Linked DNA regions of Xenopus tropicalis. The protein of the gene in region 4 purifies or fractionates together with the protein of the main gene of each other region. This does not show direct contact. Links are inferred from orthologs where the notes say so. Each region holds a gene or a part of one and is shown on either strand. Other genes may lie near its edges.

What was found.
Region 1: the proteins of prpf19 (region 4) and snrnp200 purify together in Homo sapiens (affinity purification with mass spectrometry; 3 studies listed by BioGRID and IntAct, counting the BioPlex papers as one, with this or other methods). This does not show direct contact. The link is inferred for Xenopus tropicalis from reciprocal best matches to the Homo sapiens genes PRPF19 and SNRNP200.
Region 2: the proteins of prpf19 (region 4) and prpf3 fractionate together in Homo sapiens (co-fractionation; 3 studies listed by BioGRID, with this or other methods). This does not show direct contact. The link is inferred for Xenopus tropicalis from reciprocal best matches to the Homo sapiens genes PRPF19 and PRPF3.
Region 3: the proteins of prpf19 (region 4) and snrpa fractionate together in Homo sapiens (co-fractionation; 3 studies listed by BioGRID and IntAct, with this or other methods). This does not show direct contact. The link is inferred for Xenopus tropicalis from reciprocal best matches to the Homo sapiens genes PRPF19 and SNRPA.
Region 5: the proteins of prpf19 (region 4) and snrnp70 fractionate together in Homo sapiens (co-fractionation; 3 studies listed by BioGRID, with this or other methods). This does not show direct contact. The link is inferred for Xenopus tropicalis from reciprocal best matches to the Homo sapiens genes PRPF19 and SNRNP70.
Region 6: the proteins of prpf19 (region 4) and prpf8 purify together in Homo sapiens (affinity purification with mass spectrometry; 5 studies listed by BioGRID and IntAct, with this or other methods). This does not show direct contact. The link is inferred for Xenopus tropicalis from reciprocal best matches to the Homo sapiens genes PRPF19 and PRPF8.
Region 7: the proteins of prpf19 (region 4) and eftud2 purify together in Homo sapiens (affinity purification with mass spectrometry; 3 studies listed by BioGRID and IntAct, with this or other methods). This does not show direct contact. The link is inferred for Xenopus tropicalis from reciprocal best matches to the Homo sapiens genes PRPF19 and EFTUD2.

Annotation. Positions count from the first base shown.
Region 1 is NC_030679.2:125,100,043-125,104,579, reverse strand, and holds the start of snrnp200 (U5 small nuclear ribonucleoprotein 200 kDa helicase), read left to right. Parts: upstream 1-1,193; 5' UTR 1,194-1,286; coding exon 1,287-1,331; intron 1,332-2,453; coding exon 2,454-2,617; intron 2,618-4,537. UniProt on the Homo sapiens protein: Catalyzes the ATP-dependent unwinding of U4/U6 RNA duplices, an essential step in the assembly of a catalytically active spliceosome. Plays a role in pre-mRNA splicing as a core component of precatalytic, catalytic and postcatalytic spliceosomal complexes.
Region 2 is NC_030684.2:127,698,267-127,702,854, reverse strand, and holds the start of prpf3 (U4/U6 small nuclear ribonucleoprotein Prp3), read left to right. Parts: upstream 1-1,485; 5' UTR 1,486-1,645; intron 1,646-4,588. UniProt on the Homo sapiens protein: Plays a role in pre-mRNA splicing as component of the U4/U6-U5 tri-snRNP complex that is involved in spliceosome assembly, and as component of the precatalytic spliceosome (spliceosome B complex).
Region 3 is NC_030684.2:78,498,164-78,502,760, forward strand, and holds the start of snrpa (U1 small nuclear ribonucleoprotein A), read left to right. Parts: upstream 1-1,362; 5' UTR 1,363-1,596; intron 1,597-1,657; exon of another isoform or gene 1,658-1,679; intron 1,680-1,984; 5' UTR 1,985-2,003; coding exon 2,004-2,076; intron 2,077-2,214; coding exon 2,215-2,387; intron 2,388-3,054; coding exon 3,055-3,228; intron 3,229-3,307; coding exon 3,308-3,487; intron 3,488-4,011; coding exon 4,012-4,100; intron 4,101-4,597. Other genes in the region: UPF0692 protein C19orf54 homolog, read right to left, coding at 932-1,004. UniProt on the Homo sapiens protein: Component of the spliceosomal U1 snRNP, which is essential for recognition of the pre-mRNA 5' splice-site and the subsequent assembly of the spliceosome. U1 snRNP is the first snRNP to interact with pre-mRNA.
Region 4 is NC_030683.2:60,626,209-60,630,912, forward strand, and holds the start of prpf19 (pre-mRNA-processing factor 19), read right to left. Parts: upstream 3,018-4,704; 5' UTR 2,889-3,017; coding exon 2,870-2,888; intron 1,986-2,869; coding exon 1,836-1,985; intron 718-1,835; coding exon 641-717; intron 1-640. UniProt on the Homo sapiens protein: Ubiquitin-protein ligase which is a core component of several complexes mainly involved pre-mRNA splicing and DNA repair. Required for pre-mRNA splicing as component of the spliceosome.
Region 5 is NC_030683.2:113,684,946-113,688,989, forward strand, and holds part of snrnp70 (U1 small nuclear ribonucleoprotein 70 kDa), read left to right. Parts: intron 1-1,242; 5' UTR 1,243-1,251; coding exon 1,252-1,398; intron 1,399-1,486; coding exon 1,487-1,549; intron 1,550-2,302; coding exon 2,303-2,357; intron 2,358-2,541; coding exon 2,542-2,606; intron 2,607-3,474; coding exon 3,475-3,537; intron 3,538-3,908; coding exon 3,909-3,990; intron 3,991-4,044. UniProt on the Homo sapiens protein: Component of the spliceosomal U1 snRNP, which is essential for recognition of the pre-mRNA 5' splice-site and the subsequent assembly of the spliceosome. SNRNP70 binds to the loop I region of U1-snRNA.
Region 6 is NC_030678.2:45,530,493-45,534,536, reverse strand, and holds part of prpf8 (pre-mRNA-processing-splicing factor 8), read right to left. Parts: intron 3,558-4,044; coding exon 3,370-3,557; intron 3,172-3,369; coding exon 2,933-3,171; intron 2,632-2,932; coding exon 2,485-2,631; intron 2,323-2,484; coding exon 2,112-2,322; intron 2,016-2,111; coding exon 1,899-2,015; intron 1,751-1,898; coding exon 1,503-1,750; intron 1,401-1,502; coding exon 1,221-1,400; intron 1,138-1,220; coding exon 1,002-1,137; intron 921-1,001; coding exon 751-920; intron 517-750; coding exon 387-516; intron 19-386; coding exon 1-18. UniProt on the Homo sapiens protein: Plays a role in pre-mRNA splicing as core component of precatalytic, catalytic and postcatalytic spliceosomal complexes, both of the predominant U2-type spliceosome and the minor U12-type spliceosome.
Region 7 is NC_030686.2:17,869,806-17,873,849, forward strand, and holds part of eftud2 (116 kDa U5 small nuclear ribonucleoprotein component), read left to right. Parts: intron 1-712; coding exon 713-778; intron 779-924; coding exon 925-960; intron 961-3,038; coding exon 3,039-3,129; intron 3,130-4,044. UniProt on the Homo sapiens protein: Required for pre-mRNA splicing as component of the spliceosome, including pre-catalytic, catalytic and post-catalytic spliceosomal complexes. Component of the U5 snRNP and the U4/U6-U5 tri-snRNP complex, a building block of the spliceosome.

The DNA.
Region 1 (4,537 bases), on a different chromosome or scaffold from region 4:
CCTATTGGTTTGAAAAATCCTAGATTTTCAACTGGATGTATACATTACACCGAGCTTTACAGCGCATTTTTTTTTTTTTTTTTTGTGTGTCACATGAGGTTGAACTCCTGCAATAAAGGAGTATATTTTAAAGTCATACATAGTTCACTGAAAACCTATTCATACCCCTGACTATTGAATAAGAAATCCTGCTCTCCTTGGTTTTTCTTTTAAAGCACTTAATCTCAAAAAAAATTTTTAATGTGACTATTTTGTTAAAATAATATTGTTATATGTTGATTAATACCAACTTTGTACACTGTTCGAAAGTCATTTTGGCCCATTATGTGAAGTAGTTGTGCTTCAGGTTCTGGTAACTGAGATGATCCTTGTCATCGCCGTTTTCAAATAGCATCACAGATTCTCAGGTGGACTGGGACTTGGACTATGCCATTGCTTGAAATTTGGAAGAAGAGCTTTCTCTGGGTCCCCATCTGTTTTGCCAAACACCAGTTGTACTTTTACATGGTTCTTTTGGGGCAATGGCTTTTGTGTCTTCCTCCTATACAGGCCAATGTGTTATGCAGAACCCTTGATATGGCATGTCAATACCTACATATACAAACCTGATCCGCGCTTCTAAATAAACTAGTGATTAATTACAAAATGTGCTTTTTCCATTCATTAAAAAAAAAAAGGGTTTACCTCTGTGAGCTATATAGGAAAATTATTATGTAGTTGAGCTGCCCTCCTCTAACTAATCCAAAAAGTGCTCCTTATACTAACCTTAAAGAGTTGGCGCTCATGAAACACTACCAGTAATAAAATCAATCTATTTATTGCACAAAAATGAGAAATTCATATATTAAAAAATATAGGTGTTTTTTACTGATATTTTTTAATATATGAATTTCTCATTTTTGTGCAATAAATAAATTGATTTTATTACTGGTAGTGTTTCATGAGCGCCAACTCTTTAAGGTTAGTATGTCAATACCTACAGTAAAACGTGGGGATATATAGTATAATGTAGTGTAGCTGCTTTTTATCAACAGGGACGGGATATCTTGTTAAACATATATTTAAGTGCAAAATACATGGAGCTGAAACAACTATTTCAGCCTCCTAATACAAATAGATATCCTTTCACTGGTCGTATGTGATTTTCAATAAAGTTGCAAGGAAAAAAATGGTCGACGGAAGCGGCTTATGCTTGTACCGGAAGTGGAAACTCAGGGCCGGAAACTTCGTCTGGAGCGCGTTGTTTGCCCTGCGAGTGCGAACACGGCCGGGCAGCAGAGTGAACCATGGCGGATGTAACAGCCCGAAGCCTGCAGTATGAATACAAAGCGGTGAGTTTGTTAGGGGGAATATGTTAGCAACGAGAAGTGGAGTTGGGAAGATGTTAGCATGAATATTCAGCCTGTGGTTCGCCACGTAGAAGTGCGAGTTGTAGTTCGGCTACAGGTGCGGAGCTTTAGGGTGAACGCGTAGGGCTTCTCTGGAACATATTTAATAGAGTAAGCCAGTGTTCTATTGGGACTCCTGTAATCGCTGAGTCTGCTTCCTTTGTAATTGTATTCTTAGAAGGAATTGAACACAGTGTTGACGTAGCTATTGTTGAATATTAATAGGGGGCCGCCAGTTTGAGTTCTTACACAGTTGCATACAATGCCATAGCTTTAGCTGTTTCATTGCTTGTACTCTTAGCTGCATTACAGTTTCAATATGACACACAGTTGGCAGCCAATGTTTACATCAGACCATAGTTACATAGGGTTGAAAAAAGACCAGAGTCCATCAAGTTCAACCCATCCAAGTAAACCCAGCACACCTAACCCACACCTACCAATCTATACACTCACATACATAAACTATATATACAACCACTAGTACTAACTGTAGATATTAGTATCACAATAGCCTTGGATATTCTGCTTGTTCAAGAACTCATCCAGACCCCTCTTATAGGCATTAACAGAATCTGCCATGCATTTTTAGACACAACAATTATGCTTTCTGATAATGCATTTGATAACTGATGTCTCTCATTACATTATTACATTAAAATTACATGGTTTATATGGCATGCATGCCAGGTTAGAGCTTATAAATATGTATTGGGTCATAAAGAGTACAAGAGAACCCTGATTTTAGTTTTCCAGGGTCAAACTGTAAATCTTGGAAACTGTAAAATTGTGATTCTACTGTAAGAGAGGTAAAGAGAAAGTAACTTAAATTGTCTCCTTATTTCTTTAATGGATCTTATTGCAAAAGTGTGTGTAAAGCACAGCAGACATTATTCCAGGGAAAACTACTAAAAATCTAATTAGCTATAGTTAATTAGAAAACAAATATGGCATTGTGTTATTGGAAGCAAAAAAGGTAAACATGAACTTAATTAAACATTAGCTTCATAGCCCCTAGCTTATTGCACTGAATTCTAATTTATTTATTTATTTTTTGCAATGCAGAACTCTAACCTTGTACTTCAAGCTGATCGCTCCCTGATAGACCGTACCCGCAGAGATGAGCCCACAGGAGAGGTTCTCTCGTTGGTGGGGAAGTTGGAAGGAACTCGCATGGGGGACAAAGCTCAAAAAACCAAGCCACAGATGCAGGAAGAAAGACGACTTAAGTGAGTGGCAGTGCCAAAATGTCTTTCTGTAATAAATGTGATAGGTGTACAGGGTGGGCCATTTATATGGATACACCTTAATAAAATGGGAATGGTTGGTGATATTAACTTCCTCTTTGTGGCACATTAGTATATGTGAGGGGGGAAACTTTTCAAGATGGGTGGTGACCATGCTGGCCATTTTGAAGTCGGCCATTTTGGATCCAACTTTTGTTTTTTCAATAGGAAGAGGGTCATGTGACACATCAAACTTATTGGGAATTTCACAAGAAAAACAATGGTGTGCTTGTTTTTAACGTAACTTTATCCTTTCATGAGTTATTTACAAGTTTCTGACCACTTATAAAATGTGTTCAATGTGCTGCCCATGGTGTTGGATTGTCAATGTCAATGCGCCAATTGTGCATGTAACACTGTGCATCTGAAGTTATAGTAGTAAATATTAGTTTATTCCGAATAAGCTGAAATGGATAAAATAATGACATTCAGGTGAGAATGAATTGTTCTGCACTTTCCTTCAGGTCTTCTGTGAAGTTCTGTTTATGTACTGTATTTATATAGAACTACTTGTTTTTATCTTTAACCCTTATAAGGGTAATATTTTTAAATACCAGCCATTCTTCCAAGGCAATTTTCTTTTGAAGGATATATTTAGTGAAATGTCAATTGTTTGAAATTTCAGAGTAGTGATGATTTTAATTCAAGTACATACAATATAAAACTGCTGTATATTTACCACTATGCTGTAGCCTTATAGAGTATGAATTTGTTAATAAAATATACGTTTTGCCATAAAAGGTTTTGCAGTATTCTAGGAATGAAATTAGAACAGATGCCTTTCAGATTCAGAAAATGTATGTTTATATGTGTTGTGTATATATATAGATGATAGTAACCATTTACTGTACCAAGAAATATTTTGTCCATGTGATTTGATTATTTTAAAGGGGACATATCGTGTAAAAAACAGTATTGTGCCAATGATTTGTACTGATCTAAATATAGAAGAAATGTGCTTTAAAAAGTAGTGTTTTAGGCTGATTTATTGGCACTGGTCATGCCAATGTGTTCCTCTTCCTTCTGCCTTTCCTGGGTTGTGCAGGGGGGCCAGCACACTACACTGTAGGATAGGAACCAATCAGCAGCTAGGCTGACCTGATAGGGAACTGAATCCTGTATTTGCTTGTGTGACTGCAGGGCTGTGATTGACTTTTATTTTTTTAACATACCGGTAGGTTAATTGGCTCTGAAAAAATTGACCATAGTGTGTGAATGGGTCCTTTGGAACCAGGGACTGATGTAAATGATGTATAATTCCTATGTCTGTGTCATGGATATATAAGTAAAAGGATAACAATAAACATTTAAGTAGGACTGAAACAAAGCATGGCGATAATATATGGAATGATAATGTTTCTTGGAATCCTTAATATAAACCCCTGAACTGTGGCTTATTGTCAAGATGATATAGGAAAATCCAGGCAGTTGTAAGCTTCCCCATATATGCTTAAATTAAAGGAGTAGTTCTCCTTTCAAATGCTTTTCAGTTGCTTTCAGATAGTACACCAGAAATGAAGACTTTTTTTCCAATTGCTTTCAATTTTTTTTAATATTGAATTTTACAGTTTTTTTTCACCTCATGTCTCCCTGCAGCAAATCTGCAACTAATGAGTTGATACATTTTACATCTTTGACCCTGCTGAGTGTAAGCTGAGTTTCATTAAAGTCAGCTGTTCTAATTGATACAATAGTTGCTTACATTTATATACTAAAGAGAATCAACTAATGTAGTAACAGTTCTGCACCTGGATTACTGAGCTGACAGACTGAAACACTGGATACATTTAAAGGGGTAGTTTTCATTTAATCTCTAGTATGTTATATAATATCACATTCCTAGCAACATTAAACATTTTCTTC
Region 2 (4,588 bases), on a different chromosome or scaffold from region 4:
AAGTTCCGAAATTTTCATATTGAAACGATTGTTTGCGAATTGTGATCCGATAGTCACGAAATTTTCGTATCCGAACAATTGTAAATGGCGGTAAAACCTGACTTTGAACCTTCTGTGCATGTTTTTGGAAGCCTCCCATAGGACTCAATGGCACTCTGCAGCTCCAACCTGGCCCAAGGAAAGTCTCCCATAGGGCTCAATGGCACTCTGCAGCTCCAACCCGGCCCAAGGAAAGTCTCCCATAGGGCTCAATGGCACTCTGCAGCTCCAACCCGGCCCAAGGAAAGTCTCCCATAGGGCTCAATGGCACTCTGCAGCTCCAACCCGGCCCAAGGAAAGTCTCCCATAGGGCTCAATGGCACTCTGCAGCCCCAACCCGGCCCAAGGAAAGTCTCCCATAGGGCTCAATGGCACTCTGCAGCTCCAACCCGGCCCAAGGAAAGTCTCCCATAGGGCTCAATGGCACTCTGCAGCTCCAACCCGGCCCAAGGAAAGTCTCCCATAGGGCTCAATGGCACTCTGCAGCTCCAACCCGGCCCAAGGAAAGTCTCCCATAGGGCTCAATGGCACTCTGCAGCCCCAACCCGGCCCAAGGAAAGTCTCCCATAGGGCTCAATGGCACTCTGCAGCTCCAACCCGGCCCAAGGAAAGTCTCCCATAGGGCTCAATGGCACTCTGCAGCTCCAACCCGGCCCAAGGAAAGTCTCCCATAGGGCTCAATGGCACTCTGCAGCTCCAACCCGGCCCAAGGAAAGTCTCCCATAGGGCTCAATGGCACTCTGCAGCTCCAACCCGGCCCAAGGAAAGTCTCCCATAGGGCTCAATGGCACTCTGCAGCTCCAACCTGGCCCAAGGAAAGTCTCCCATAGGGCTCAATGGCACTCTGCAGCTCCAACCTGGCCCAAGGAAAGTCTCCCATAGGGCTCAATGGCACTCTGCAGCTCCAACCTGACCCAAGGAAAGTCACCATACCGAAGCTTGAATGAATCCGAAACTTTTGTACTCTGCGCGACAATACCGTTTTGTCACGTAAATTTTGATGCATAGTACAAAAAAGTCTTGCAAATTAGCAAAAAAATGGTGAAAATACGTACAGTATGAAATATGATTTTTTTGTATTTGGAAGCGATCATACTTTGATAAATGGGCCCCTTAGACCAAAGGTTGGCAAACTTTTGTGGGGGATTTCTTTTTAATAAACAAAACCTGAATGCTATTTTTTAATAGTTTAAGGTCACAGCACCCCAATAGGAATTGGCCAGAATCCAAATTGACAGTATTTGCTACTCTTTAACAGGGCCACTATCACACATTGTCTTAGTTCTCTACTAGAGTCTTTTATGAAGAAAATTTGTACTGAACAATGCTAAATGCTGTATATTTGGCTATATTGTAGCTTCAGCAATAGTATTCCGTGGGTAACATCAGCCCGCCAAATCCCATCTGTGCGGAGATTGCGCGTTGCTAATAAAGTTATTGGGAAAAGAAATCCCAGCGTGCAGCGGGTTTCTCGGACACGTGATGCGGGTCAGAGTGGGCGCCAGACTGCATGCTCGTAGGACTTCCGGTTCCGTTTTGACGTCGGGTCTCCGTTAGTCCCCGGGTAGTGAAATCACAGGGAGAGAGGAGAGTGGCGGCTCTGTGGGTGAGTATGGGAAGTAGTTAGCGTGTAAGCTGTGTAACATTGCGTTTGGGCTGGTGTAGGCCTGAAAGGCCTCGGCCTGGAGTAGCTATTGATGCGGGGGAGGGAGGGTGTTGTCAGGGATAGATTTACAGATCGTACGTTCTGTGCGATTCCACGTAGGCAATCGTTGTATCTGTATTCGCGCTACGTTAGTGCAGTTTATCGTCATATAATGAAGCGCAAAATAGGGGCAGCCCAGTTTAGGGAAAGATACCAAACTTTGAGTTTCAGTTGAGGCACCACTTACACCGCAGGTTGGCAGGCCGGTTTGGGTCAGGACCTTCTGTCGGAACAAACATTAGGCTGGGGTCCACCGGAGTATCAGTCATAGTAAGTGGCCTTCCAGGAGTAAAACATTCTTCCCACATTTTCCCTATCTGCCCTTTAGTTGGGCCCCCTAAGAGCTTCAGCAACACCGCCTGGGAACCACTGACTTACACTGGTTGTATTTTGCTGTAGTTTATTGTATCTCATGGGTTTCACAAACACATGCGGATTATGTAATAAAAGGCACTAAATTTGCCCAGGTGCAATAACCCATAGCAACCAGTCAACAGGTATCATTTAATGGATACTTTTTATTGGTTGCTGTGGGTTACTGCTCCTGGGCAAATTTAGTGCCTTTTATTACATATGGGGGATCATTCCTACAGACCTCCCCCTGAGAACACGAATCGCTGAAATTTTTGCATGCCACACTGACATACCTATTCTGACCCCAGTAGGATATTTGCAAAAAAATCTGTCCCATTGAGAAACAAGAAATGTGTTGAAGCCAGGATGCTACTGAGGGTTGCTTAAAGGAAAACTATACCCCCGAACAATGTAGGTCTCTATAAAAATATATTGCACAAACAGCTCATATGTAAAACCCTGCTTCATCTAAACAAACCATTTTTATTAATATATACTTATTTAGTAGTATTTGCCATTGGGTAATCCTAAATTGAAAATTGCCATTTTAAGAATTAAGGGCCGCCCCCTGGGATCATAGGATTCACAGTGCACACAAACAAGCCAAGGCACACATACATGCTAGGCCCCATCAGCCAATGAATGGGCAGAGTTCTGCCTTTTACTCCCACACTACTTCCTGTTACAGTTAGAGCTGCATTATTTCCTGTCAACTGATCTCTGATTGAACACACAGCCCATCACTAAATGGCGGCTCAAGGGAAAAAGATGTAAAATGGCAATATTTACTGATATATATATTCCGGTTTGGTGAGATTCTTTAATAGTTCACTTAACATAATATAAACTGTTGGATAAGTATTCATTTTGTGGGTATAGATTTCCTTTAAGGTTGGTTATATTCCATAAAAAAGTAGTATGGGAATTCCTTTTGGGTTAAAAAAAAGCTTTTTGAGGTCAAGCATTTTGTCTGCTAGCCCCTAAACCTGTTATAGCTTTACAGATATAGGAAAACTATTTTTCATATTTATTTTCATAGATATTTGGGCTAGTAAGCAAGTCTTTATTCCAAATCTTGCTGTATAGGATCAATTTTTTTTTTTTAGCTCTAACTAGGGGAGCAAAGGGGCATTCCCTAAAGATCACCCCCGAATCTGTATTCTCCTTGCCCTCCACCATTATAAGAAGTGGGGAACATACTTCTATAGAGTTATTACAAGTACATAAAGTACTAGAATAGTAAATGTAACATTCACTAAAATTAGCAGGAATATACTAAAATGAAGTTAGAGAAAGATAATGAATTTTTCTCTGTGGGTACAGAGTGATACTTTGCCTCTCTGGGCAAATGCTAAATTCCTCCCACTGACACAGCATGCAGTTGAATGCAAACATTTGGTCCTCCCTGACCAAAATACATATTAAGTTAATTTTTCTAATTGAAAAGGCAGTGATCAAGCTGAAGGTTTTGGAATGGCCCTCACAATCCCCTGACTTATCTGCAAGCCTGTTGGTAGATCATAAACATTCATAGCACAGGCCACAGAATATCTCTGCAGGGATCTGCAAGGAAACGTGGGCAAAAATCCTTGAATAGAATTTTGTTCTTTTATTAGGCAAAAAACTTATTTTGGGATGACATGTCCTTTAATTACATATGCCATTTGGCAAGGGGTGCCCAAACTTTTTGAGGAAAAACATGTTTAATATGTCTGTTATCTATCTTCTTTATTAATAACATTGGCAAGTTTCCTGAATATAAGCAGATGCGTATATGTCTATACGTATATATCAGTCTGTAGTACAACTGAATCTGTTAGATTTGTCTGTTTGCAAAATGGGGTACATATAGGGCAGCATGGGGGGTTAGCTTTGCTGCTTCCAAGAGCCTTGTCTTGGATTTGATTCTGACCACATACAAAAAAACACCGTTTAGTGGAAGCTCAAGAATAACATGAGGCCTGGGTGCACGTTGCCCATACTTGCTGTTTGAGGAGACAACCCAGGATATGAGCTGGCACTTAGAGACCAACAAACAAATTATAATGTAGACTTTATTACACTAACCTGTCAGGATACAAAAAGCATTATGCCTTTCATGATAAAGTGTACAAGGCTTTTTAGAGGGGTTATGGAGTAAAAGCACTGTGTTTGCCCAGGAGCAGTAACCCATAGCATTTACTGGTCACCTGTTTGAAAGCAAACATCTTATTGGTTGCTATGAGTTACTGCACCTCGGCAAACATGGTGCCCTTTTATTACATATAGGCGTTTCTGTCCTGATATGTTCTTGTAATTAAGTTTTCATTTTATTTACAATTCCTATTTGTGGGTATCCTTAAGTGTCTGATCATGTCTTGGGTTTGATTTTGACCAGGGCCTGATCCAAATGGCTTTGTATGTTCTGCCCATGTTTGTGTGGGGATTCTGCCATTGCTCCTTTTTCAGTACAAATAGATGCAGGTAGGCTAACAGGCTTCTGATGAAAGT
Region 3 (4,597 bases), on a different chromosome or scaffold from region 4:
TACACACAGGTTAACTGGCTCCTGATAAAACTGGTCCTGCTGTGTGTGAATTGTTAGCTTCACTGTGGCAGGAACTAATGTGGTGATGTATAATCTCTGTAAAGGGATGGTGCTATATAAATAATAATAATGACCAGAAAACTGAAGCTGACTCCAGATACTTTACTACTCATAACCAGACTACTACACTGGCAATTAGTACAGGGAAGAGCAGTCTGGAGTCTGTGGGTTCCTCAAGCATTATTATATAGTATACTTTGCAATATATAGGCAAAGACTATATAGCCCACATTCTATTAGTATGTGATATTTAGGCCTCAGTAGTGGATATCAAAATATTGTCACCAGAACTATGGCAAATATACAATTCCAAGCAAATATCTTGCAAGGAGGATTCTGAGCTTTGCAGTTCAAGTAGCAAATTCAGTCTCTATACCTGCCCCTGCAAATTGTGCTATGAACACCTTTTTGCAGCCTTTGGACAGAACTGGGGTGCAAAATGCAAGCTATTGCAGTGACCCATTGCCCCTGGTCTGGTTACTGTAAAAATAGATCTTGACCTTGCTAAATTCTCTACTCTGACCCTGAACTGTGGGTGTCACTTCCTAGCAATTCAAAGCAACAGGTCATTGTATCAACTCCCCAAGGAAGTCCTAACTGAAAATCTATTTTATTACAGGCGCATTAAACAGATCATTTTAATACAAATTTGGGGTTCTAAAAAGACTTGACTTTGGGTCCCTGTAATTCTAGTAATGCCATTGCACGGAGATGAAATTGTGTTGCTACTGGGAGGGATTGTGTGAGAGATTAAACATTTTCCGAGACGCTGAGGAATATGTCGTTTCTAAACCTTACATTGCAGATTTAGCTACAGGTTGTAAACAAGATCTGACACCGTACTTTATAGCATGTTGGTGAAAAAAACTACCAGATCCGGCTTCAGTTCGGAAACATTCTTTGACCACGTGTGTACTAAACCATATATGTATCCCCTTGTTCATCTGTACAGGTTAATTTATTCATTTTAATTGCCAACGATAGTATCTTGAAAACTATCACCTAAGCTATAAACGCCATGAAATCATATTCACGAACACCTACAACAATAGCAAAACAATATAGTCACGTATGCCGCAGGAGTCCGTTTCCTGTTTCCGGGAGGAATATATTAGCAGCTGCACCGCGTTCTACGCCTCGGCCTCCGATTTCATTGGTCGCGCGGCTTGCTTTGGGTTATTGCTATAGGGTGAAATGGCTTTCACTTATGGCTTGCAGCCAATCGATGAAGATTTGGGTAGGTCACCAATGATATACCTGCAAGACGTCGAGAGTTGCTGTAGCAACGCGGCCTAAGTTAGACGTAAATTGGGCGTTGAATGAATTTAGGTACAAGGCCTTCCGGTGGCGGCAATCTCAGTTAATCACATTGGGTTTTAGTGCATGCGACTTGCGTTGCTATCTTGAAATATTTCCTGCTATTGTACGTTCCATCCGGGAAGTTTATTTCTTTTCCAGCGTACCGTATTCGTATCGTAGCACAAGCCCAGCGTTTAATTTGGCGGCCCTTTTAACTGTATCATATCCAGGCTGAGGGTAAGTATGCTTCCGTCCCGTTCATTGTTATATCTTCCCGCTTCCTAGCTGTGCCACAACAACTACGGGCCTCTCACAATCAGGTCCCGGCTGTGATATTTCAACTTTAATGTTACCCTGTGTTCTTTGCATGGCTGTGTCAGGGGCTGTGTAGTTTTGTTATGATCTGGGTGTTGATAATACTAATAATACTATGTTACTACTATATGGCTCGCAAAGGAAAATATATTGTAGACCTTAGTTTGCACAAGTAAATAAGTCTGCGTGTAGTATAGGCACTGGTATATTATATGCACACTCTGCTCATACATAACTGGGCTTATGTACAGACTATACCAGGGCATTGTTCTATTTTAAGATGCAATTAACCCTTTTTTTCTCCCTTCAGATTAAGTTGTTGAGGAAGTATGGCTGTTCAAGAAGTCAGGCCTAATAACACAATCTACATCAACAACCTGAATGAGAAAATTAAAAAAGATGGTGAGTTAAGGCTGTAGCAATCCCTGGAGCGCAACCTAAATCTCTGTACCAGTGTTTACATTACTGCAATTTAGTGCTATTTAGAATTACTTGGTCTTTGAAAATCCAAAGATTTGACTTTTGCTTTCTTCTCTTTAGAGCTAAAGAAGTCTCTTTATGCCATATTCTCACAGTTTGGTCAGATTCTGGATATCTTGGTGTCTCGCAGCCTGAAGATGAGAGGACAGGCTTTTGTTATATTTAAAGAAATAAGCAGTGCCACAAATGCTCTGAGGTCAATGCAGGGGTTTCCCTTTTATGATAAACCAATGGTTAGTATTTATTGTAGTTTTTTTCCCATTTTTCATTTACTTTACTTCAAAGTGTTCTTTTAGGATAAGTCTATGGTTATAGAGACATGAATGATATCTGACACTTTATGGAAAAATGGTCAGTGACAGTGGAATGACCCATATATTTATATGAAAGGACATGGGTGTATATACCATCTTACTGGCAGATTAAAGGACTAGAAACAATTTTCCAAATCCCCCTGCCTATAAAGTAAACATACCTTTGTACGTGCATATTTGGGGTGTATGCTAATTTTCATTGAGGGGTTGAGAAGAAACTATGCACTCCCATATTGAAAAGGATATTGTACATAAGTTAATAACATCTTCAATAACCATCCTTCATAATATTTTTACAGGGCTCCTGGGTTAATACTTGTGAATGTGTGGGAGTTTACATCTGCTTAGGTAGTTTGCATGGATAGCTGTGCACATTGTTGCTAAAGGAATCCCACACCCAGTGCAATTAAATATATGGCTTGTTTGTTTATCTGTGCTCATTATTTCTTTAGAAAAAAAGAACTATAAAGCCAAGTTGGGTAGGGTGGTGGTGGATACATTCTGTTCAGTTTCCATACAGTATCTCCTCCCATTCCATTAAAACTTGGTTATTTTAGTCTTTATGCTGATTTTGCTTTTACTCCAGAGAATACAATATTCAAAATCCGATTCTGACATCATTGCCAAAATGAAAGGTACCTATGTGGAAAGAGACAGAAAGAGGCAGGAGAAGAGGAAGGTGAAAGGCCAGGAAGCTCCGGGTGTTAAAAAGGCTTTACCAGGTGCTGCGTTGCTTCCAGGCGTTCCAGGACAGATGGCGGTAAATACATACAATTTTTTTTTTTTCTTGAAAGAAACCCGTTATGTTGTGCACAGCCATAATTTTATTTATTTTTTAGGGCATGCAAAATATACCTGGTATGACTCAAGCTCCACGCATGATGCATATGGCTGGGCAGGCACCCTACATGCATCACCCTGGTATGATGCCACCACCAGGGATGGCACCAGGACAGATCCCACCAGGAGGCATGCCCCATGGACACCTGATGCCTGGGCAGATGGCACCCATGCAGCCAGTAAGTTAGACTACATCACCAGATCTGTCTGTGGGTGATAGTCTCGCTAGCTTTTATAAAGAGTACCTGATGTCTGCTAGCTTAACTATTCTTTGCAGCTTTCGGGGGAGGGGGTGCGGTGCTTAAAGGAGACATATTGGATAAATGGGGAAAACCCTAATATTGTAGGCAATTATGAATAATATATGGTGCTGGTTTCCCTTTGTGCTTAAAATTAATCCAATCTGTAAAAATGGCCCCTTTATTGGAGCTCCCTATAGATCCTCTCTTCTGACCATGTTTAAAATGAAGAGTGGGCGTTTCCTAATGGTCCCTGCCAGAAGCACAACTTTTTTAAGCGCAATCCTTCTATATCTAGAGGAGTAAAATTCACTGGTACATTCATTATTTTTATAGGATACATCTCCTTTAATATACTGGCAACTCCCAATAAACCTGGTGTCTTTCAAGAGCTGTCCACAGAAACTGCCTGTGTCTGAGTTTTTCAGTCATAACTTTGAATGCTGTTTTTTATTTTTTTTTAGATTTCTGAAAACCCACCTAACCACATCCTCTTCCTCACCAACCTTCCAGAGGAAACAAATGAGCTAATGCTATCTATGCTGTTTAACCAGTAAGTATTGCACAAAATATAACTGTTGTACACTGTCGTAGTTGCATAAAAACACCCTTGTCATATTTCAGTATTGCAGGGCAAAATTATGGAGTGGAAATTGTCCACAAAAAACCTTAATAAAAATATAACTTAGAACCTACAGAATAGCCGGTCTTTTCCAAGTCTGGCATGTTTTGCTTTTGCCCTTACTGTAACTATTTGGCTAGCATCCTGCCTATAGTGAGCAATTGGCTGTAGTTTTGTAGTTAACCAATTGTATTGTAAGTAATGCTTACACTGGAGACCTTGTTTCACATACAGGTCCTTTTCAAAAAATTAGCATATTGTGATAAAGTTCATTATTTTCTGTAATGTACTGATAAACATTAGACTTTCATATATTTTAGATTCATTACACACAACTGAAGTAGTTCAAGCCTTTTCTTGTTTTAATATTGATGATTGTGGCATACAGCTCATGAAAACCCAAAATTCCTATCTCAAAAAATTAGCAT
Region 4 (4,704 bases):
ATGAACATGCACAAAGTGAAACTGGTTACATAATTAAACTGGGTAGAAAAAAAACCCCAAAGTCCATCAAGTTTAACCCCTCCAAATGAACGCCAGTGCATATATATTGCTACTGCTGCCACTATTAGAGAAAAAAAATGAATAAAAAACAAATACTACTGTACATAAGGTCAAAACCTTGCCATATTTAAGTATTATGTGGTTATGTTTAACATCATGATATCAAAATAATTTCAGTAATTTTCATATTCTCACTTATGATGCAATAATGTATCTGCAGGAAACAGTAAAGATATATCAAAACCTCTATTAGGTTTCCATAATTTTGCCTCTGCTGAGGCAAAGAACACATGTATAAAACAATATATACTGAGGCAAAGAACACATGTATAAAACAATAAAACAATATACCCAGCAGATTTACCCTTTACTAATTTAAACAAGTAAAAAACCTGATACATTAAACACTAACAATACACTTTACCACATGGCTAATGAATACAGTTACGCTTTGTAAATCTATTTATTAATAATCAGCTGTGCAATACATATGTTCTATTTTTTTTTTTTTTAATCTACACCAACACATTTTATAGACAGTAAGGAGAGAAAGCACAAAGTGAAGGATCCAGATACTAACCCACTCATCTTGCAATGATTTCAGGATTGCTGGAATACTGGTTGCAGAAGGTGGTTTAGGACGAATTGGATGGGCTACTGTAAGAAACAGGATAAAAGACCCTTCAATAAACTAATTGAAGAAAAAGTAAAAACATCGCTCCATTCTTTGCTGTGATTAAAGAAGAATTAAACTTAAAAAATGTTGTTCTATTATCTGTTTAGACCACTCATGTGTAATTTAGAGTATAAATGGATACACAGCACAATCTATTTATTCTTATGTAGATCTACTAATCAATTTTTTTTTGCGACAGGTCTAGGTATTATAAATATCTAAACTTGTTACCAGTTTACATTTTACATACAGTAGCTCAAAGACAGGTAAATAAAGACAAAATTTAAATAGTCTGTAATATGACCTATATGTAAGGCCCAACCACGATATAGAAGTTCCCCTTTTTAAGTCTTTTGACACAGTCAACCAAAATAACATTAAGAGTTTTGTAAAAGTATTTCATAGAACTGTGTACAAAAAGTGCAATACAAAAATATGTGGATCCATATATTATAGGCTAATTAAAAGCAAGAAATTGGCTTACTAATGCATAATTCAGTTATTTTTCTTCTAAAAATCTGTAAAATTATGTGTATTCACTTAGTGAAGTTTGGGAACATACACTAATTAAAATGTAAAATTTGGCTTTGGAAGCAATGTGCCATCTCTAGCTACAATTAGCATTACTGTGCGTTGTGCAAACGTAAAATAATACCTTTAAATGACCCAACAGAAATTATAGTTTTTTGGTTTTTTTTTGTGTTAGGTATGGCTAATTTTTTTTTTGGGGGGGGGGGGGGGTTACAGGTGAATGACAAGTAAATTCCCTATACAGGTATGGGACCTGTTATCCAGAATGTTTGGGACCTTGGATTTTCCGGATAAGGAATCTTTCCGTAATTTGGATCTCCATAACTAAAGTCCACTAAAAATAATTTAAATATTGAATAAACCCAATAGGATAGTTTTGGCTCCAATAAGGATTAAATATATCAAGTACAAGGCACTGTTTTATTAATACAGAGAAAAAGGAAAAAATTAGAATTATTTGCTTATAATGGAGTCTATGGGAAACTTTCTGGATAAGGGATCCCATACCTGTACCATTAAACTGAACACAAAGAAAAATAGCATTAGACGTTTTCACAGCTCTACTGACCTTTAATGTCAATCAACTGATCCTCACTTAAGGGCTGATTTGTTACTGGATCTGTCCCATTTTCAGCCAAATACTTTTCAATAAGGCGGCGATCAAAAATATGACCCGACACCGGGGAAATGCAGGGGCGATCTGTGACCTCATTACTGACTACAGGCAAATGAGAAAAATGTGAATTTTTATAAACATGTTTAGATTATAAATGGCATAATTGCTTATAAGTCTAAACATAGGTTTTAAATACACATGTACTGTCAAATACAATTATGTCCTAAAATTCAAGTGGTAGGAACAAAAGCATTAAGTATTTAGTACCTTTCATTAAAGTTGGAGTCTAACCATTTTATACATTAATGAATTAAATGTTTTGTATGCAAGCAAAGGTACACAAATTACAATCTCTTACATTATATTTCTAAATCATGGTCACAATACCATATTTCTAACAGAGCTATCCCCAGCTAATAACCCTGCTTGCATTTTCTGAATGCTTTAAATATGACTATACATCAATGTATATACAAACCCTGTCCGCGCTCCTGAATCAATGTCAATACAATTAATTTGGATACTCTGAGTATACTAATGTGAAAAAGCAAACTTGAGGGAAAAAAAAAATACCACTTATCTATATCAATTACTTTTAAGTGAACTATAATTAAATATATCTTTGAGCTGCCTTCCTCTACCTAATCCTTGTAGTGATTAAAATCTTAACCCCAAAGAGAGCGCCAACTTTTTGGGGCATACATCAATGTATACAAATCATACATCAAGATATTACAAAAAATATTAACTTAACACAATTAGCAAGCTCCAGATACAATACAACTTTTGTTGACATAAACACAAATTTAGGGAAAAATATTTTCTACTATTAAATAACTTGCATTGAATTTCTATATATAGGACCTGTATACCAAATATCGTATCAAATGACACGTTGCATCCACACAGCCGATGCTCAGCAACTTTATACAAGCATTTTATGAATCCGGTAGTGCTATTCTACTGCTGTTTTATGTTGCACTCACTATAACATGTCAAAGACATCTTCCAGGTATCTCTTTGAGCAATATGGTTAGGCGAGAAATAGCGTTGTTTTCTTTTTAGTGATGCTGTTCAGCTAGGACTCCCTGTTTTCAGACTTAAATTGGGCAGGCCCTTTGGCGGGCTATCTCCGTTCTACCGAGGTAAACTTGGAAACAGCGTGTAACCAGCGTCGGCAAAGTACTTCCGGTTTTCTTTGTTTCTACATCCGCTCTACAGCTAGACGTTTTACGTAAAGCAATGAAAGAAGAGATAGACTCGGCGTAGTGTAGCCGGATGTGTACAGCTGCAGTTCCTGGCAGCACTGAAGTATTTCACAGCGCTTTGTGATTATCATACGTGTCAGTCTCTTCTTTAGTTGTGTTTACTATCTAAGGGCTTCCCCACATATATGCATGTTTGGTGCTATTTATATTAATTTATTATCTTTATCAATTCTTAGGCTGCCTTTAGAGTCGGCAACCTGAGGGTAAACGGAATACATACAAGATTTGCATAGACAGACTACCTGATAAGTTATTTAGGCGAAAGCCTGCTGTTAGCAGTCTAAAACATCTATCTCAGAAATACCTCCCAACATTTGAAAAGTAGAAGGAGGGACAAATATTTCAGGACACGCCCACTTTATGGCCACGCCCCCCAACCAGGCCCATTTTACAAAACCACACCTGAAAAACATAACACACACAAAGTGCACCAGAAGATAGGCATGGTGGCCCCAATAATTTTATGACATTTATCACATATGTAGCCCTAAGAATTTCATTACGCACTGTAGCACCTGTATATCATGACATTGGTAGCCAGGTGTTACGTTTTGCATTGGTGGCAGGGCAGGGACACCCTAAAACATTGCTAGCCAGCCCAGGGCCCCCTTAAACATTGCTGGTCCTCCCCCATTGTCCCCATAGTATGGGTTGCTCCCCACTGCAGCATCCTCCAGCTCCCCCCAGCATCCTCCAGCTCCCTCCCAGCGTCCTCCCCTGCATCCTCCAGCTCCCCCTTAGCATCCTCCAGCTCCCTCCCAGCACCTTCCCCAGCATCCTCCAGCTCCCTCTCAGCATCTTCCCCAGCATCCTCCAGCTCCCCCTAGTATCCTCCAGGTCCCCCCAGCGTCCTCCCCAACATCCTCCAGCTCCCCCGCAATGTCCTCCCCAGCATCCCCCAGCTCCCACTTAGCATCCTCCAGCTTCCTCCCCAACATCCTTCAGCTCCCCCCAGTATCCTCTAGCTCCCCCCAGCATCCTCCCCAACATCCTTCAGCTCCCCCGCATCCCCCAGCTCCCCCTTAGCTTCCTCCAGCTTCCAGCTCCCTCCCAGCATCCTCCCCAACATCCTTCAGCTCCCCCCTAATATGCTCCAGCTCCCCCGCAACATCCTATTCAGCGTCCCCCAGCTCCCCCTTAGCTTCCTCCAGTTCCCCCCCAGTATCCTCCAGCTCACTCCCAGCGTCCTCCTCAACATCCTTCAACTCCCCCGCAACATCCTCCCTGCGGCTCCCCCTGCTCCCCCCCCCACCCGCCTGCTGCCTCTTGCTGCGTCCCCCGGCTCTTCTTCTCCCCATGATGTCACACTCGCGTCTATCGGGAGCACCGCAGCTTCTGCAATGCATTCACATAAATGTTAGAATGGAAATGAGCGAGAGACACGAGTGTGACGTCACAGGGAGAAGAGCAGAGAGAGGGGAAATTTAGAAAGCGGGGCAATTCAGACAACGCGGGACATTTCAAAATCAATCCAGGACTGCGGGACAGGGTGGAGAAATGCGGGACAGTTGGGAGGTATGCGAAAAGTAGTATAATTTGCAAAATTTTGCAGA
Region 5 (4,044 bases), about 53 Mb from region 4:
TCAGAGTTTGCAAATAAAAAATAAAGGCAAAAAATTGCAAATTCTTAGAATAACTCTACATCATACTGAACGTTAAAGGGGGTTGTTCACCCTTAAGTTAACTTTTAGTTTGAGACAATTTGCAGTTGGTCTTAATTTTTTCTTTGTAGTTTTTCTATTTTCAATAGTTTTGTCAACTCTCTGGTTTGGTTGCTAGGCTCCAAATTACCTTAGCACCCAGGGAATGATTGGAATGAGAGACTGATAATTGAATAGGAGAGAGACAAAGTAACAACAATAAAAGTGTAGCCTCACAGAGCAGTAGGTTTTCTTGGTTTAGGGGCTCGATGACCCCCCATTTGAAAGCTACAACGAGTTTGTAGAAGGTGGCAAATAATTCAAACTATAAGCGAAATAATAAGGACCAGTTGAAGAGTTTCTTAGAATTGTCCATTTTATAACATGCTAAAAGTTAAATTAAAGGTGAGCCACCCCTTTTAATGATCCAGTATGCTTTGCCAATTAATACATAAAGGTGCAAGAAATGTACTCTGGTTGCCCTGGGGTGTTTGTTTTTTGATACTTGGCGTCTAATTCCATCATAAAATGGGGAGTATATAGGAATTAAATCTCTGCACTTAGGGATGGTCATGACATTTTTATAGCCCTGAAAAAAGGGGCTGGGGGGTCAGATCTCAATGATCAAAAAATACAGAATAAAGACATTTACGCTGTAAATTAAGGAATAATCCTGCTTTCAGATTGGACTGTGTGCCGTTTCACTTGCAAAAAGTGTAAACATAGACTAATGAGGAGTTCCGGGTACAGAGCAATAGCTGTGATCATGCGCACACTGACTTTTCCTTCAACAGTAGAAAATTTATTTAAAATAAGGTGCAAAACTGAAGTCATAGAGCAGATTAAATGTGAGGAGATTTAATACATGTTATTAAAATTAAGTGTAAAGATAGCCATTCAGCTCCCTTCAGATCTATTAATCAGTTTATCTGCACGTGTATGAGGCTCTCCGATGGGCCTCTCTGGCCAATATCTGGCTGAAAATCGGGCATGGTTGATTTTCCTGTTAGAACGAGGACTGCATCGGATCATTGATCTGGACCTCGCCCCAGTGGCATGTATCCCAGTCATTATCAGATCATTTGGCCCTAGGAGCTATTTATATTTTCATAAAGATGATTTCAATGTTCTTAAAATATCTTTTGTGTAAACATTATTCAGTTGATTTTTTCTTATTCTATACAGGTCTTCAGGATGACACAGTTCTTGCCTCCAAACTTGTTGGCGCTCTTTGCACCTAGAGATCCAGTACCATACCTCCCTCCTTTAGATAAACTACCCCATGAAAAACACCACAATCAGCCATACTGTGGGATTGCTCCTTACATAAGAGAATTTGAGGTGAGTACACAGCTATATGAACCCGCTAAATGATTTATACCTGCAAAGGAAATTACATAAATCTTATAATAAATGTTATTGTACACAGGACCCTCGAGATGCTCCACCTCCAACTAGAGCAGAAACCCGCGAGGAGCGGATGGAAAGGAAGGTGAGATGTTCACTGATAATACTGTATTTTTGAGAGCATAGATGTTTTACATTTCTTTCTGTGGTTATCTTTGTGTGCCCACAACTCTAGAAGTTTGTAAACATTCACTGTCATTTTTTCAAGTGGCATATAACGTTCAAAATGGGGCTTAGAGAATCAACTAGACATGAGGTTCTTATATACAGAGCAGTTTTTGCACTGAAAAAGAAAGAGCTTCCATTTTTAGCAAACTACAAAGTGGATATGGATGTTAGTAGATATAGTAAATTGATCAGGGGGCAGCAGGACCATATATAGGTTCTTCAGTTGGAATTTACTAAACCGGATAAAAACATTTTAAAAGAACAGTTATTACTTGACTGGGAAGCTCAAATTATTTTTTTTGTCAGCAACCAAAATATATAAAAGTTAAATGACTCAAGCTAGGATTTATGATACAGGAGGTTTTTGCGATTATCCACTCTTCTACTATAGTAGGTGGGAAAGTGGTCAGGAACAGTGATTCTGCTTTTATCATCCAACAGAAGCTTCTGTATTAGACTGCATCTTTTCTGGTTAAGTGAAAAAATACCATTCCATTTGTGGAGTGGCCCCAAACTCTTGGCCAGACCTTTTTTTTTTTTTTTTTTTTTTTTTTTGCAGCGATTATTTCTACTTTTTCAAATGATAGTAGGCTTGTCTGTTGTGCTAAAATGACCCTGCAGCTGCTTTGTAGTGTGAATTACCTTAAAACCTTTTAAATCACTTTAACAGCGAAGAGAGAAGATTGAAAGAAGACAGCAGGATGTCGAGAATGAACTTAAAATATGTAAGTGCTACTTCAAGTAACATTTTCTGCCCTTTTTATTTACCATGCTGTCTTTCAGTTGGAAAAGTATAGTTTGTATCATTGAGTTTATCTTAGTTTGTCAATGTTTTCAGTCAACATTACATATTTGGAAGACCGTTCATAAAATATTTTGTTTTTAATTTCTGTTCTTTTCACCTGATAGGGGATCCACACAATGATCAGAATGCTCAAGGAGATGCCTTCAAAACCCTTTTTGTTGCCAGAGTGGTAAGTTTTATTTGTGCTCTTGTGTTTCTTGTCAGAATAATCCTTAAGTCACTGTAGTAGCAGTCAGGAAATTTAGGTAGCAGGTAACTGTGTGTGGGTTTTTATGTATATGGTTAAGTGGTGAGGCTGTGATGTAGGATCTTATGCTTGAGACCTTGATTCCGTTCCTTTTGGCAAATCCTTGTGACCTTGGACTTAATCTCTTGCTGTCCCAGGGTGTATGTAATAGCTGCCTAGCTGGCTGTAAAAGCACTTTGAGTGCTGTGGGGGAAAAGTGCTATATAAATGATTTAGACAGACCTTTGCTCCAAAATTCTTAAGGTAGCATACCTTTATTATAGTTAAGTGTCTTAAGGTGGCCATAGATCGGCATATTTAAACGATTTGGCTCGATATGGGGACCCCTGGCTGAAAATTGGGCAGGTTTTTTTTTTTTTTCCTTCAGTTCGGGGACTGCATCGGCTCATTGATGTGGTCCTTGTTCCGATGGCTCCTATTCCCATCTTGTAATCCAGTTGTTTGGCCGAATGATTGGATTACTCCGATATCTCCCGCCTTAGGTGGGAGTACTGGGAGAAAGATTCTCTCATTTGGCGAACTCTCCAAACGAGCGGATCTTAACGTGTATGGCCACCTTTAGAGCATGTTCTAGCATATCACTGACGATACTTGAATCTGTTCTCCATTGGGGTATGATGTCTTTGGTTCGCTATATGTTGAACAAGTCCTGACATCTTTACACCAATTCAGCTACAGGAGGGGTGCTAAACCCTGTAGAGTTTTGGTCAGAAAATATGACTTTTCCTGGTGCCTTTTGGGGGAAAAAAGCCTATAGCATTTTTCATGAACCGAATGATTTGTTTTTCAGAATTATGATACAACAGAGTCTAAGCTACGACGTGAGTTTGAGGTGTATGGACCTATAAAACGGGTATGTATATTGTTCGTGTTAAAAAAAAATTTTTGACTTCACTTAAAACAATAAGACAAGCTTTTCTAGTTGTACTACATGACCTGTTTGGCCTGGTTCACGCATTTATTTATACTGTTATGGCATAAGTCATAAGCTCCATAGCCGTCTGTAAATAGTTTAGAAAGTTTTGTCTCATTTTCTAATTCTAAAAGCAGAGAGTCCAATAGTGTGTGGTTGGTGATTTTGTGCTGATGTATGCAAAATGACAACTAGAAAGCATTCTGGCCTTATACAGTATCTGTTAGCTGACAGCTTTACTCATGGGATGATTGGTGTGTCGAGGGCGCCAATCGGTTTTCATTTACAAATGTAATTTCTTTCTATTTTAGATTCATATGGTATACAATAAGCGGTCTGGGAAACCCCGTGGATATGCCTTCATTGAGTATGAACATGAAAGAGATATGCACTGTAAGTTTTTAATTCTCTAACAAAAAATTAGTTTTGTTTTAGCAATTTTAAAGA
Region 6 (4,044 bases), on a different chromosome or scaffold from region 4:
CTGGAATCCAACATAGACCTGAAAAACCAATAAAGAGATCATCAGCATATAAGGTTGTTTCACAAAAATCTAAAGAACTTTTAGATGGTATATTAATAAAAGTATCTAACAGGTTTAATTTTCACTGAAAGACTGGTTTCATCCACAAAGCTGTGTGCAGCTTAAAGAAAACAATGGTTGCAGCAGACGTTCAGATATTCTGTAAGTCCATAAAATGTCACGTGGCAGACTACTCCGCAATTTTACTTTTAAGAGCATTATTATACATAGTTATCTAAGTGGATTTCATTAAAAATGGTTGAAAACCACCCCAAAATGATCTGCGATTTAATGTATTTGTGATTTCATGTCTTTTATTTGCCCTCTTTCAGACTTTTTATACGTACGTTGGCTCTGTTGATTGTGGGAGACCACCAAAGTGTAAATCTTCTGTTTGGTATCTGGTTTAAACCAGAACGCTGAGCATTGGTCAGTTTCTTCCATTTCATTGATTCTTCAAAGCCGCTGGCCTTTTCCCTGGTAAATGTGAAAGTACATAAAAATAAGACATATTTAATGTTTGGAAGAAGGTGTTCAAGGCCATGAGGGCTTTTTAAAGGACAGCTCAAGCCCATAATGGATTACACGATCCATAATGTTCCTAAAGCTATATAGACCTACAAGATTGTTTTAAAGGCTTTGAAATAAAGGCTTATTAAATAATAATGTATTAATATAACAAGTATTTAAAGTGATCCAGAGATTCCTTACCAGAAAAGACCCTCCCATGTGGGAAAGTAAGTGCCTTTAAATAGCGTGTGCTCCAGTATACCCTCCACCCCTCCAAGGGCCTGAATCATATCTGTGCGGTAGTTGTTCAGATTCCATAGCTTTCCATCATGACGCTGATGTGTCCACCAGAACGGGTTTTGTTTCAGCACCTGCAGGATCAAAGAACATTAAGTTCAGTCGATGTAGGAGCACCACATGCAGTAATACAACGAATGCTAAGCCTATATTACCTGGTACTGTTTAAAGTCTGTGCGAACTCTCCAACCCTTGTCATAAGCAAGTGTGTGCCGATCTTTCTGAAACAGTGTATTAATACGTGGAATTCCCCTGTCCCATGAGTCTTCTAAGTCTTCAAGCGTCAGGCGTCTTAAAGAGAGTGTTGCTCACATTAGTGCAACTTTCACAAAACAGTATATACTTATGCTGGCAATCAGGGTGGGACATATTACCTGTTTTGAGCAATCGCCTCCTGCCTCTTTAAGGCATACTCAGCCCAGACTCTCTGAGAGTCTATAAACTCACTTTCCCAAGGCTGAATGTAACGATACAGATTAGGAATCAGTTGATCCTCCTCGTGACTCATGCCAGAACGGAAATGGGTTATGCCAACATCTGTCTGCTTAGACCACCTAGTAAAAAAAAAAAAAAAAAAAGTTAAGAGGTGAAACAAGTTACAGAATAAAAAAAAGCTACTTATGCTAATACTGAAAATGTAAGATATTTTACAATACCTTAGGTCAGACTGTGGAATTAAAACATGTCCCATGGACAACATGCCCAAACCTCCAAGTTCCTTTGGTGTGTAAAAAACAACAGGCGGGAACCTGCTTGGCATTTTAGAGTTCAGCCCAATCTTTATTCTTGTTTGGATTTTGTTCTCACATTTCACCAGCAGATCAAGTAGTTCTTGGGTGTTGACCACAGCCTCACGGAAATAAGTCATTAGGCCAATAAGTGCTGTATTCCACTTGTTCACAATCTGGAAGTTAAAAACTGTATTTAGATACAAGGTATTATCTAAGCAAAAAAAAATGTTGAGTTTCCAAAATATCTTATTTTCTTATTATATCAGGTAACACAAAATCTATGCATTTGCAAAAACACTGGTCTATTTGCTTTGTGCTTACTTTTGTAAAGGTTGTGGACCCGGAAGCCATAAGAATTTGACGGACTCTGTTGTGAAATCTCTGCATGGACTCGTCATCAACTCTTAAGAAGCACTGAGCTGTGCGTTCTTTGGTCACCTAAAATAAAAATATTTTATTAATCTCTTATCTTAGGGTAAGGGTAATAAAGGTAAGCTCTTTTGTAGCAACCTAAGCGTCTTTGTGGCAACTTACTTCATTTTGCAGGTTCCAGACACCATCCTTGTGCGTAAACTCTTCATAGCTTGTGCGGCATTTGGGAAGTATGCGGCATTCAAAGCCGCACATATTAAACAGCAGGTTTGGATTGTCTTTACTGTACACAGACACAAAACTGTTCTCCCACTGCACAGTGGTGACAGAACGAGGCAGTCTATTTTTTATATCCCAAAACACTGCACGGCCCCTGAAAATAAGATAAATAGTGAACACTTGCTCCTTTTACCAAGAGGCTTGGGTTGTGGATTACAGGATAACTACTGCAGGACACTTATAAAAATGACTGGCCAAGGCTTGCATAAAGGACTGTTAGAGTAATGGGGGGTGGGGGGAGGGGTAACAGACTTACAGATTTACATCATGTTTCATGAGGCGCATTCTGGCATCCCTTGGCCAACACTTTTTATTGTTGTAGCCCACAATATTCTCATTATTGGGATCTGGATGTTCTGTTAAATATCTCTGAATAAGGTCTCTGGCTTCATCAGCTGAAAATCTACAAATAAAGAAAAATCAATCATAAAATGAACTAGTGTTTGAAAAATAGAAAACATTTAATGCCCACTGGCCGATGGACATCAGTTAGCCAAGGAGGCCTTAAATGTTTGATCACAGATGATCAAGTCTTCAACCAAAAGTGTCTGAATACCCTCTGTTCCCTGAAAGAAGTCTCAAGAACATGAAGCATTCCCACTAAGACCCCATTCCAGGAGTAAAGACTTAAGTTCACATAAGATTCAGAAAGTGCTTCTATACTGTAGTCTCAGGCTAAATTAAGCCAGGGATAAATTACTTGCCTGAAAAAAATGTGAATGCGGTCAATGTATCGACAAAACAGGCGGATAGGATGGGCCGATTCTGTTGCCACATCTTGGAAACTTAGAAAGTCATTTGGCATTTGTGGTGGCCCAGCCATTTCACTAGCTCTGTGTAAACCAAGAACCAGAAGATCCATCACCAGACCATAGTACTGGACAATAAACGAAGCAAACTGGAGACCACGAATAATGCCATAGGAATTTGTGTGGTTCATATCCTGCAAAACAAAGTAAAACAATAAGATTCAGCTTGTAAGAAGACTAATGTAAATAAATGTATATATACTTGTAACATTTTATGAAAGCCTCAAGGTGGAAGAACCAGTTTGCAGGGATTGTTTTTAGACACATATTACCAGCTGGAGTAGGCTGCTATACCCCTTATCATTACTGGCAGCATCCGGGTGTGCACTGACCTTGTAATTTATCACAACGTTGTTTTTTGCAGTCATGTAATCAGCAATATTGTGATCAACAATTAGACGCAGCAGACGATTCAGCAGAGTCAAGTCAATCTTTTCATACATCTTTTCAAAGCGTGACTCCAGCATCACATTGCATTCACCTTCTGTGGTGTCCCAAACATCCTGCAGGTTATTTATGCCTAGAATGAGACATCCAACAAAATTAGAGCAGATAGAAAAATCCCTGAGAATGAAGCACAGACCAGTATTACTGCAAACCATTTGTTTCTCAAAAGGTCAAGACCTTATGTGCAATAGGAATTCTGATAACAATAACGTAGTCCCACCCAGGGATACAAACTTCTATTATTAAGCAATAACAAAATTATAGCTAGAATTTTAAGAACATTTTGTGGCTTTAGAAATTATGCAAATGTATTAGTGCACGGGACAAATGCATCAGATACTATGGTGCTTATGACTCCATCAATGCTTCATTTTGCCCCTCCGTATATTGTCTGTCCTTATGTTGAACATTGCCAACGTACATGAACAAGTACTAAGCAAGTTATGCACAACATTACTATTCAAGTGGCAGCTGAGCCACTAATGAATCAAAAGGTCAAAAAGTTGGTTATACATTTACAGTGAGGTAAATATAACTATTAAATGCAAAGTTTCAGTAAT
Region 7 (4,044 bases), on a different chromosome or scaffold from region 4:
CGCAGGCTAAAAGCATCTTCCTAAGTGTATGCACCAAGAGCTGTCTTACATTTGCTCTTACTTTACTTAGACCTCATTTAACCCTCAACAATCAGAAACTTGGGGATTTTTTTTTTTTTTTTTTTAAAACAAACAAAAATTATCTACATCACAACAGAAAATATATTTTTATATACGGTATATCTAAAGAAGTTGGTATTGTGATGGACTGTGCAGAATAACCTATTCCAGTATGTTTTACTGATCTTATATTGCAGCAAAAAAAAAAAAAAAAAAAAAAGCAAGTGCCTCTCTAATAAGTAGGGTACATAGTGCCATCAATTCTGAAAGCTGCCCAGTTCTGTGTAGGCTCCTTTTCGTGGTTTAAAATAAAATGTTCCTACTAAAAAGCTGAAAGGGCCGGCAGCTTTAAAAGCCTGTAGACTAACAAGGCATACCATGGAATCAGAATGGATGGTGAAAACTGTCCCACTTGATACACAAAGATCAAAATTTAGTCCTGATGATGATAATGGCTATAACTGCTAAGCGCTTGATAGCCACTATTCATTATAGCTGTGTTCCACTGGTGTTTGTCACTCGGGGGCTGGGCTTTTACTGGGTCATTGTTACTGTAATGTCACATTAAGATATATTGCTATCAGGGTGTCTCCCCTCTTATTGCTATATAGCGGTTGGTAACATCTGACATTACATTTCTTTTTCTACCCAGACCTGTTTTGTGGACTGTTTGATTGAGCAAACGCACCCAGAGATCCGCAAGCGCCATGACCAAGATGTGAGTAATCCAGATTTTTTTTCCTGTCTGGCCCCTGTTAATGGCAAGGAAAAAATTATTTAGTTCGTTGCTGTTTGTTTGAAAACTTACAGACAGAGATGTCTCCAGTATTTCAATCCTACTGATCTGCTGTTGTTCCCTTTCAGCTTTGCTACACAGATATTCTTTTTACCGAGCAGGAGGTAAGTGGCGGTACTGTACTACTGTTATAGATGGTCTAATGTAGTGAAAGGCAGCCTGTAGCTGTCATGTTACTTCATCTCTAACATGCCAATGCTTGTTAGGTTATTGAAGAGGTGATGCAACACCCAAACAATTGTGCTATACTCGTATAGAGCTACAAATGCACAAGTTAAAAAGTAGATTTTAACTTGAAACGATTCCTTATTCAGGGAGTGGTTACAGTGCTGTTATGACCTGGTTCAGACCTAATTTAGAGGTTTTCAGTCTTTGACATCCATTATTTAGTCATTTGGTCATCATGTCGTTCTGCAAATAAGCCATCATCCTTACTCTCTAGCTGGACTTCAGGGAGCATCTAGGAGAGAAAATTGCCATTCTCCTCCACTTTTACCCTAACTGATCTTTATGCCACTACATAGTTACATAGGGTTGAAAAAAGACCAGAGTCCAAGTTCAACCCATCCAAGTAAACCCAGCACACACAGCTATACTTACCAATCTATACACTCACATACATAAATTATATATACAAACATTAATACTGACTGTAGATATTAGTATCACAAAATCCTTGGATACTATTCTTGTTCAAGAACTCATCCAGGCCCCTCTTAAAGGCATTAACAGAATCTGCCATTACCACATCACTAGGAAGGGCATTCCACAACCTCACTGCCCTCACCGTGAAAAACCACCTATGCTGCTTCAAATGGAAGCTCCGTTCCTCTAATCTAAAGGGGTGGCCTCTGGTGCGTTGATCGTTTTTATGGAAAAAAAGAACACCCCCTATCTGCCCATAATCCCCTCTAATGTACTTGTACAGAGTAATCATGTCCCCTCGCAAGCGTCTCTTTTTTCCAGAGAAAACAACCCTAACCTCGACAGTCTAATAGCTTAAATCTTCCATCCCCACTACTAGTTTAGTTGTACGTCTCTGCATTCTCTCCAGCTCATTAATATCCTTCTTAAGGACTGGACCCAAAACTGCACTGTATACTCAAGGTGAAGCCTTACCAGGGACCTATAAAGAGGCAAAATTATGTTTTCATCCCTTGAGTCAATGCCCTCTTTATACAAGACAGCACTTTATTTGCTTTAGTAGCCACAGAATGACACTGCCTGGAATTAGACAACATGTTATCTACAAAAACCCCTAGATCCTTCTCCATTAAGGATACCCCCAACACACTACCATTCAGTAGATAGTTTGCATTTATATTATTTCTACCAAAGTACATAACTTTGCACTTGTCAACATTGAACCTCAATTTCCAGTTTGTTGCCCAGTTTTCCAATTTTGTCAATTCGCTCTACAAAGCGGCAGCATCCTGCATGGAACTTATAGTTTTGCACAATTTAGTGTTGTCAGCAAAAATAGAAACAGTACTCTCTATGCCCACCTCCAGGTCATTAATAAACAAGTTAAAAAGCAAAGGACCAAGGACTGACCCCTGCGGTACTCCACTAACAACACTGGTCCAATTAGAAAATGTTTCATTTACCATTAATCTATCCTTCAGCCAGTTCTCTGTCCAATTACAAATATTATGTTCTAGGCCAATATTCCTCAATTTGCTCATTAACCTTCTGTGAGCTACTGTATCAAACGCTTTGGCAAAGTCCAAGTAGATGACATCAACTGCCATTACAGCATCAAGGTTCCTGCTCACCTCCTCATAAAAGGCGACTAAATTAGTCTGGCAAGATCTGTTACGCATAAAACCATGCTGGCACAAACTAATAGTATTGTGAACTGCAATGTATTCAAGTACCCTATCCCTTATTACCCCTTCCAAAAGCTTTCCTACTACTGATGTCAGACTACTTTATGCTCCTCTGTGGGGGCCAGCCCCACAGTTTGGAAACCACTGGTCTAGTTTTTTCTTTATAGGCCATAGCAAACTGGAATGTTGCCATGTACTAACCTGAGCAGTATTCGTTTCATAGCAATTTCCTGTCCTTCGTAAGTCTTTTCCTCTGCTGCTGTACTCTTCATTAGATAATGAGTTTGTGTTTAGGCACTTCATATCTAAGTGCACCTGCACAAGATAATGCCAGATTAATCTTCTTCCGTTAGAGAGGAGTTGGTATGAAGAGTACACCTGTGACAATTGTGGTTCCAGACACCAAGGAGAAGTCTTACCTGTTCAATATTATGGACACACCAGGTCAGTTACAGAACTAGATGTTTTTATTGGTGCTTCACAAAAAATCTACGCTAGTTAATAAATATATACCTCTTATTAACTAAATTATACCTGATTGTTTTCTCTGCTCTGTCCCCTTGTTGTGGGCCGAAACCTGGAGCTTTTTTCTTCATGCTGTACTATTGGTGCTTATTGGAGTACTAGCATTTAGTGGATTTTATGTGACAGCCTGCGGCTGAGTGGTTACTGCAAATATCTGCAGATGTACCCAAGTTCAGTGCCATGGAGCTAAACACAACGTGGCAATTTCTTGCTACTAAAATGCTATAACCAAACTAATGCACTGTACACAGCTGTGTAAAGGTGGCCATACACGGGCCAATTGTAGCTGCCGATATCGGTCCGTTGGACTGATTCGGCAGCTTATCGGCCCATGTAGGGGCAGGAACGACGGGCATGTCCTACCGATATCTGGCCTGAAATTGGCCAGATATCAGTTGGGCAGGTTAGAAGATTTAGTCGGATTGGAGACCGCATTGGCTCGTTGATGCGGTCCCCGAACCGACTGCGCCCATTGCCGTTGTTATAATTTGATCGTTAGGCCCCAGGGCCAAACAATTGAATTAGCCTACAGTTGCCCAATATCGCCCACCCGTAGGTGGGGATATCGGGAGAAGATCAACGCAAATCTTAACGTGTATGGTCACCTTAAGATTTATGTTGCAGGTGGCTGTTCATTATGACTAGAATCTGGTATCCTAACACTAGCAATGTAAACATACTACAAGGTAGATTAAGAGTTTGGAATTTGAGTGGCTGAATATAATAGTTACATAGTTACATAGTTACATAGGGTTGAAAAAAGACCTGTGTCCATCAAGTTCAACCCATCCAAGTAAACCCAGCACACCTAACCCACACCTACCAATCTATACA